Linked DNA regions of Callithrix jacchus. The protein of the gene in region 2 purifies or fractionates together with the protein of the main gene of each other region. This does not show direct contact. Links are inferred from orthologs where the notes say so. Each region holds a gene or a part of one and is shown on either strand. Other genes may lie near its edges. The genes, in order: CDK12 and CCNK.

Region 1 (3,812 bases), on a different chromosome or scaffold from region 2:
CTTGGCCAGGCTGGTTGTGAACTCCTGACCTCGTGATCTACCTGCCTCAGCCTCCCAAAGTGCTGGGATTATAGGCATGAGCTACCACACTCCCACCTTATTTTTATTTTTTTGAGATGGAGTCTCCCTCCTCCTCCTGGGTTCAAGAGATTCTCCTGCCTCAGGGTCCCAAGTAGCTGGGATTACAGGTGCGTGCGCACTACCACACCCAGCAAATATATACATATATATATATATTTGTTTGTTTGTTTGTTTGTTTGTTTGTTTGTTTGTTTGTTTGTTTGGAGATAGCATTTCTCCATATTCGTCAGGCTGGTCTCGAACTCCCAACCTTAGGTGATCCGCCCACCTAAGCCTCCCAAAGTGCTGGGATTACAGACATGAGCCACTCTACCCGGGCCTAATTTTGTATTTTTAGTAGAGTGAGTAATTTTTATTTTTATTTACTTATTTTTTTAGAGACAGGGTTTCTCTATATTTGTCAGCTGTCTCAAACTCCCAACCTCAGGGGATCTGCTCACCTCAGCCTCCCAAAATGCTGGGATTATAGGTGTAAGCCACCGAGCCCAGCAGGCCTTTCTGTTATTAAAATATAGTAGTAACTCAAATACTTCAATTTTATCTTCGAGGATTTCCTCCTTACAAAGCAAATCGCAATCTATAAATATTATTTTTTACCCTCCCTTAAAATTCCCAGGAAGCTATGAAATATTTTGGATGAACCATATAGTTTGTGTTTTTCTTTTGAGACAGACAGAGTCTTGCTCTGTCGCCCAGGCCAGAGTGCAATGGCCCAATCTCGGCTCACTGAAACCTCTGCCTCCCAGGTCCAAGTGATTCTGCTGCCTCAGCCTCCTGAGTAGCTGAGACTACAGCCCAGCTAATTTTTTGTATTTGTAGAAACGGGGTTTCATCGTGTTAGCCAGGACAGGATGGTGTCGATCTCCTGACCTCATGATCTGCCTGCCTTGGCCTCCCAAAGTGAGGGGATTACAGGCCACTGTATCCGGCAAGAGAGTTTTAAAAGTTATAGTCTTCTTGGCCAGGCACAATGGCTCATGCCTGTAATCCCAGGAGTTTGGGAGGCTGAGGCAGGCAGATCACAAGGTCAGGAGTTCAAGACCAGTCTGACCAACACAGTGAACCCGTCTCTACTACAAATACAAAAATTAGCCAGGCATGGTAGTGCACACCTGTAATCCCAGCTACTCAGGAGGCTGAGGCAGGAGAATTGCTTGAACCCGGGAGGTGGAGAGGTGGAGCTGAGATTGTACCACTGCACCCCAGCCTGGGCGAAAAAGCAACACTCCATTTCAAAAAAAAACAAAAAAGTTATGGTGTTCTTTTGGAAAACTTGCATCTACTTAATAACTTTTGGGGACCAAATTAAAACTAAAAATTTGGCTGGGACCAAGTGCAGTGGTTTGCACCTTTAATCCCAGCACTTTGGGAGGCTAAGGCAGGCAGATCACCTGAGGTCAGGAATTCAAGACCAGCCTGTCCAACATGGAGAAACCCTGTCTCTACTAAAAATAAAAAAAAATAGCCGGGTGTGCTAGTGCATGGCTATAATCCCAGCTACTTGGGAGGCTGAGGCAGGAGAATTGCTTGAACCCAGGAGTCAGAGGTTGCGGTAAGCCAAGATCTCGCCATTGCACTCCAGCCTGGGCAACAAGAGCCAAACTCCAGCCAGGCACGGTGGCTCACACCTATAATCACAGCACTTTGAGAGGCCGAGGTAGGCGGATTACCTGAGGTCAGGAGTTGGAAACCAGCCTGGCCAACACAGGTAAAAGCCAATCTCTACGAAAAATATAAAAATTAGCAAGATGTGGTAGCATACACCTGTCTCAGTTACTTGGGAGGCTGAGACAGGAGAATTGCTAGAGCCTGGGAGACAGAGGTCGTAGTATGCTGAGACTGTGCCACTGCACTCCAGCCTGGCTGACAGAGCAAGACTCTGTCTAAACATAAAAAAAAGCCAAACTCCATCTCAAGAAAAAATTGGTCTGGTGTGGCAGCTTACACCTGTAATCCCAGCACTTTGGGACGCCAAGGCAGGTGGATCATTTGAGGTCAGGAGTCTGAGACAAGCCTGGAGTTCGAGACCAGCCTGGCAAATATGTTGAAACCCCATCTCTACTACAAATAAAGAAAATAGCTGGGCGTGGTGGTGCATGCCTGTAATACCAGCTATTCAGAAGGCTGAGGCAGGAGCATCACTTGAACCCAGGAGGCAAGGCCTGCAGTGAGCAGAGATTGAGCCACTGCACTCCAGCCTGGATAAGAGTGAGATTCCATCTCAAAAAAAATAAAAATGAGGGCCAGCGCGGTGGCTCACGCCTATAATCCCAGCACTTTGGGAAGCCGAGGCGGGTGGATCACCAGGTCAAGAAATCAAGACCATCCTGGTCAACAAGGTGAAACCCCGTCTCTACTAAAAATACAAGAACTAGCTGGGCATGGTGGTGTGCGCCTGTAGTCCCAGCTACTCGGGAGGCTGAGGCAGGAGAATTGCTTGAACCCAGAAGGCGAAGGTTGCAGTGAGCCGAGATCGTGCCATTGCACTCCAGTCTGGGTAACAAGAGCGAAACTCAGTCTCAATAAATAAATAAATAAATAAATAAATAAATAAATAAAAAATTAAAAAATAAAATAAAAATGAAAAAAGGCCAGGCACTGTGGCTCACGTCTGTTATCCCAGCGCTTTGGGAGGCCGAGGTGGGCAGATCACAAAGTCAGGAGTTCAAGACCAGCCTGATCAACATGGTGAAATCTCTACTAAAAATAAAATAATTAGCTAAGTGTGGTGGCATATGCCTGTAATCCCAGCTACCCAGGAGGTGGAGGCAGAAGAATTGCTTGAACCCGGGAGGTGGAGGTTGCAGTGAGCCGAGATACACCACTGTTGTCCAACCTGGATGACAGAGCGAGACTCCGTCTCAAAAAAACAAAAACAAAAACAAAAAAACCTCAGAATTGACTTTTGCTAAATCCACTTAAGATATTAGTATTGCTAAATTGTTAACATTCTGACATCTAAAATTTTGTGGCAATATTTACCTGTGTCTTTGTCCTTGGCTTTATATACTTGACCATAGGTTCCTTCTCCGATAATCCCAATAATATCAAACTTGTCCACACAGCGTTTCCCCCAGTCACTTTCTGTTTGTCTTCTTTCTCCATAACGAGGACAACAAATTCTAAAAAGTAAAAACAACAAAAAAGAAGAAAATGAAATCTAGTCAAAGAAGAAAGGATTCTTTTATGATGATTTCACTAACTCCTGTATCTTTTATACATTTTACTAAAAAGGCAGAATTAAAACAATATGAAATATATAAAGAAACAACATAAAATATATATACAGGTCGGGCATGGTGGCTCACATCTGTAATCCCAGTACTTTGGGAGGCCGAGGTGGGTGAATCACGAGGTCAGGAGTTTGAAACCAATCTCACCAACATGGTGAAATCCCGTCTCTAATAAAAATTCAAAAATTAGCCAAGCGTGGTGGTGTGTACCTATAATCCTAGCTACTCAGGAGGCTGAGGCAAGAAAATCGTTTCAACCCAGGAGGTGGAGGCAATGAGCCAATATCACACCACTGCACTCTAGCCTGGGCGATAGACTCCATCTCAAAAAAAAAGAAAACAGTCTCTCACAGTAGCTAAGACACAGGGTTGGAGCCTTAGGAAGACATAATATGAAATAATAGATTTGCTGTTTGCTTTCTGACCTCTCTCAGGTATGGCATCAATTATAAAATGGGAAATTGCAGGGCGCAGTGGCTCATGCCTATAATCCCAACA
Region 2 (3,912 bases):
AGCTCAGTGCAGCTTTGATCTCTCACAGACTCAAGTGATTCCTGCCTCGGTCTCCTGAGTAGCTACTACAGGCATGCATCACCACATCTGGCTAATTTTTTGTTTTTTTTGGTAGTGATGAGGGCTCACTATGTTGCCCGGCATCATCTTGAACTCCTGAGCTTGAGTGATCCTCCAGCTCTGGCCTCCCAGAGTGCTGGTATAATAAGCATGAGCCACTAACTCTGGCCTCACCTGTCCTTTTCTTATTGAAACTTTCTGCTGGCTTGAGGGAATCAGCTTTCCTTTCCCAAGTTCTTATACACGTGTTGGCTCTTCCAACAAGATTCTAGAACAGATTATTAATAGGTTCCTAGCATCCAAGAGACATCTAATGGCTCTTGGTGAAAACTGAGACATTTATCAGACACTAGTCTTTTAACATTAACTGCATTTTTAGGATTTTTCAAAGTCTATCAATAATGATTTTACAATGTCATCTGCAATTACTCTGGTAAACAATTTGAGCTTAAAAATATGATCACTCTGTAATCTCAATTACCTTGAATTTAATTCCCTTAGATATTTTTTGTTCTTACCCAGTTTTAAACAAAATAAGCAGAAGACACTGTCCTCCCTTTTAGGCACTCAGCAGTCATTGCTTTAAAATATAATCTCCTGAAATGAACTAGCTCATTTAATAGGCCACAGACATGACCAATTTTTCTTTATGACATGCAATTTTAAAAACAGCATTTAAAATTTAAGAACCTCATTAACAACTCGAATAGTTTTTGTTCCTTGTTAGTACAAACTACAGTTTCAAAATGGAACAAATTTAAACAGAATTTGCCCAGAAATCAACTAATAAGCATGAATAATGCATGCATCACAATATAATCGAAATGAGATAAAAGGGGGAAAAAACCCTCAAAGACACCAGTGGTAGTCACTCTGAATAAAACGATCTTGGATAATTACTACATTCACCGTCAAGATTATTTAACAGGTAAGCATCCTAACGACACAACTTTAATCCAAATGTCTGTCAGTACTACTATCACTACTCTCATCCATCGGTTCTTTCACTGAGCAATACTGAGGGCTTAATAAACGTCAGGCAGTGTTCTGGGCGCTGAAAGCTCCTCGCTTTCATTCTAGCAACATCATTCATACAAGCCTTTAATGGGCACCTAAAATTGCAAGGCACTGTGCTAGCCATCTGAAAAGAGAGATTTAGATAGAGATACACAAACGTCACCAATTTTCCTTTAAAAATATAAAAGACTACCCTTAAGAAATGCTCTTATCCAGTCGTTCCTGGCCGAGCGCCGTGACTCACGCCTGTGATCCCAGCACTTTGGGAAGCCGAGGCAGGAGGATCAATTGAGGCCAGGAGTTCGAGACCAGCTTGGCCAATATGGTGACATCCCGTCTCTACTAAAAATAGAAAAAGTAGCCTGGCCGCGTGGTGGCGCACGCCTGAAATCCCAGCTACTCGGGAGGCTGAGGCTGGAGAATCGCTTGAACCCAAGAGGCAGATGTTTTAGTGAGCCAAGATCGCGCCACTGCACTCCAGCCTGGGCAACAGACAGACTCTGTCTCAAAAAAAAAAAAAGAAAAAGTCGTTCCTAACCTAAGATGACTTAGCGAAAGCTCCGTTTAACTGGCAATCTAAATTTAGGGAGCATTACCGAGACTATCTTTGGCAGACAATAGTTTGGGAGCTGTCAGATAACCTCTAGACTTACGGTCCAATTTTCTAAATAACAATTTCTCTCATAAAAAAACAAATTAACCACCAGAACCGGGTCCGTAAAGACGATGTCTCCACAAGAACGAAATCTAATCGCGGAAGTGCCTTTTCCTCATTCCTAGTCGCACCCTCGTTACGTGGCTCTTCAGACTCCAAAGTCCGAGTACCCTAGATATGGAACAATCTCCAAAAAGTCTCAGGCCTACCCAAGGTTGGGACTAATACGCCGCGAAATAACCGGGGAAATATGAGTACTCAGTAGCTATGAGATTGTGCGCGGGTGACACCCCTGTCCCTTTTGCCCAAGCCCTAGAAAGTCCAACTCTGACTGACCCCTACTGCGAGGGCCGCTACCAGTTCTAGGGTGCGCCCTGCTTCCCTGCCCCACCCCGGCGCCTCGGACCCTCTCTCCAAGCCGGTCCCGCAGCCCCGCGCCGCCCGCTAAGTTCAATGTGTACGAGAGGTTAGCGGAGAGAGGCGGAATCCGAAAAGAGAGACTCCGCCAGTGGATGGCGGCGGTTGGCCATAACCTACTCCGACCTCTGGATACGCGGGAGGTGGGCGGTGCTGCCCGCAGTCGGTGGGTCACTCACCCCTCTTTTCAGGCAAGCCCCTTAGCGACGTCTCTCCTTGCCGACCGCGGCCATTTTGCATGTGGAATGTCGGGGAATACGTCATCACGCTGCGTCTTGAGACAAAAACCAAGCGACCGGAGAGGCGGAGAGAGTAGGATGCCTGTCAACCAATGGGAAGAAAACAGAGCTCTCGAAAGCGGAACGGGCCGCCTTATTCTTTCTCGCCCGCCCCGCGGGTCAGTGGCGGCTGCGTGCAGGGGGAGGAGCCAGCCACAGGGCCCATCCCGTCGGTTCCGCCCCCCGGGGCGAAAAAGATTCTGGAGCAACCGAACCTGCTAACGGAACTCGGGAGCGTAGGCGGGGTCCGGGTCGCGCTTCGTCCAATCAGAGCTGGGGCGGGGGCGAACACAGCCAATTGCGACCTCGGGGTTGGCGGCGGCTGAGCCGTCCGCTCTCGCCCCCGGGAGCCGTCAGCCCACTGGCTGGAGAGGACCCCGAACGGAACGCCGGCTTGGCGGCGGGGCGGGGCCGCGCCCATGCGTCCGAGGCGCGGACCAATGAGCGGCTGCGGCGGCGGCCTGGGGGCGGGGTCTAGGGCGGGCGGAGCGGGGTTGGGCCGCGGCGGCAGGGCCGTCTCAGGCTGCCGTCCCGCCCCTCCTGTCCGGCCGCCGCCGTCGCCGCCGCCACCGCAGCCACTGCCACCGCCTGGGGGTTGGTTGAGGCGGACGGTGGTGTCCGGGCTGGAGTGCGTCGTTCCCGCTGCGCTAGGGGAAGCGGGCAGGTGAGTGCTGGCGGCGGTCTCTGCGCGCATGTGGCCCGGAGGCTGCGAGAGAAACTCGCGCTGCCTCTCCGAGCGTTACGAGGCCGCCCCCCGCCCTGGCTGGCGCCCCTCTGCCGAAGTCCGGCGCGCGCCCCCGCCCGGGTCCCTGCCGGCCGCTCCGGGCCCGGGGCTTGAAGGGGCGGGTGTGAGCCCCGGAGCTGGGGTAGGCAGGGCCCTGCGGGGTCGGAGGGCGCCGGTCGGCCTCTGCCCTGGCGCCCTGCGGGGCGGGAGGCGCGCGCTCGCTGCTGCCGGTCCCTTCTGGCGCCCACGCTCCCGGGCTCCGCGCCACCAGGTCCGGAGGTGGTGGCAGGTGCAGGGAGCGCTCTCCCTGCGCTTGCCCCACTGTCTCCGGCCCTCGCGCCCTCTCTCGGGTGGGGCCCGGGCCCCTGGCGCTGGTCTGCTCGGCTCTGCGTGCGGCCGGGTCGCGCTCTCATTTCCTTCCTTCCGTCACCCCGCTGCCCGGGGAAGGCTGTGCGGTTTTATGTTCCTTTCTGCGAGTCCTCGATGCCCACCGGGGTGCCCGAGGACCAGCCCCCGCCTCCCTTCCGCTCCGTCCAGTTAGAAAGACGGTCGTAGGAAATAGGTCGTCTTTCTTCCCACGCGACGCTGGCCGTGTTCCACACGCGCAGTGCCCTACTAGGGAGAGGCATTCCGTGCTTAGAGTTTGTCATTCCGCAGTTAAACTCTTCCTCCTCGTGGCTCCAGCCCGGCGATGCAACTCTGCCTTTCCCCTGTCTCCACTCGGGGAAAGGAGCTGACAGTGACGCGCGCCCCTAGCTGCG

What was found.
Region 1: the proteins of CCNK (region 2) and CDK12 purify together in Homo sapiens (affinity purification with mass spectrometry; 6 studies listed by BioGRID and IntAct, with this or other methods). This does not show direct contact. The link is inferred for Callithrix jacchus from reciprocal best matches to the Homo sapiens genes CCNK and CDK12.

The regions. Positions count from the first base shown.
Region 1 is NC_133506.1:119,957,649-119,961,460, reverse strand, and holds part of CDK12 (cyclin-dependent kinase 12), read right to left. Parts: intron 3,204-3,812; coding exon 3,064-3,203; intron 1-3,063. UniProt on the Homo sapiens protein: Cyclin-dependent kinase that phosphorylates the C-terminal domain (CTD) of the large subunit of RNA polymerase II (POLR2A), thereby acting as a key regulator of transcription elongation.
Region 2 is NC_133509.1:134,366,481-134,370,392, reverse strand, and holds the start of CCNK (cyclin-K), read right to left. Parts: upstream 2,400-3,912; 5' UTR 2,329-2,399; intron 1-2,328. Other genes in the region: SETD3 (actin-histidine N-methyltransferase), read left to right, coding at 2,467-2,546. UniProt on the Homo sapiens protein: Regulatory subunit of cyclin-dependent kinases that mediates activation of target kinases.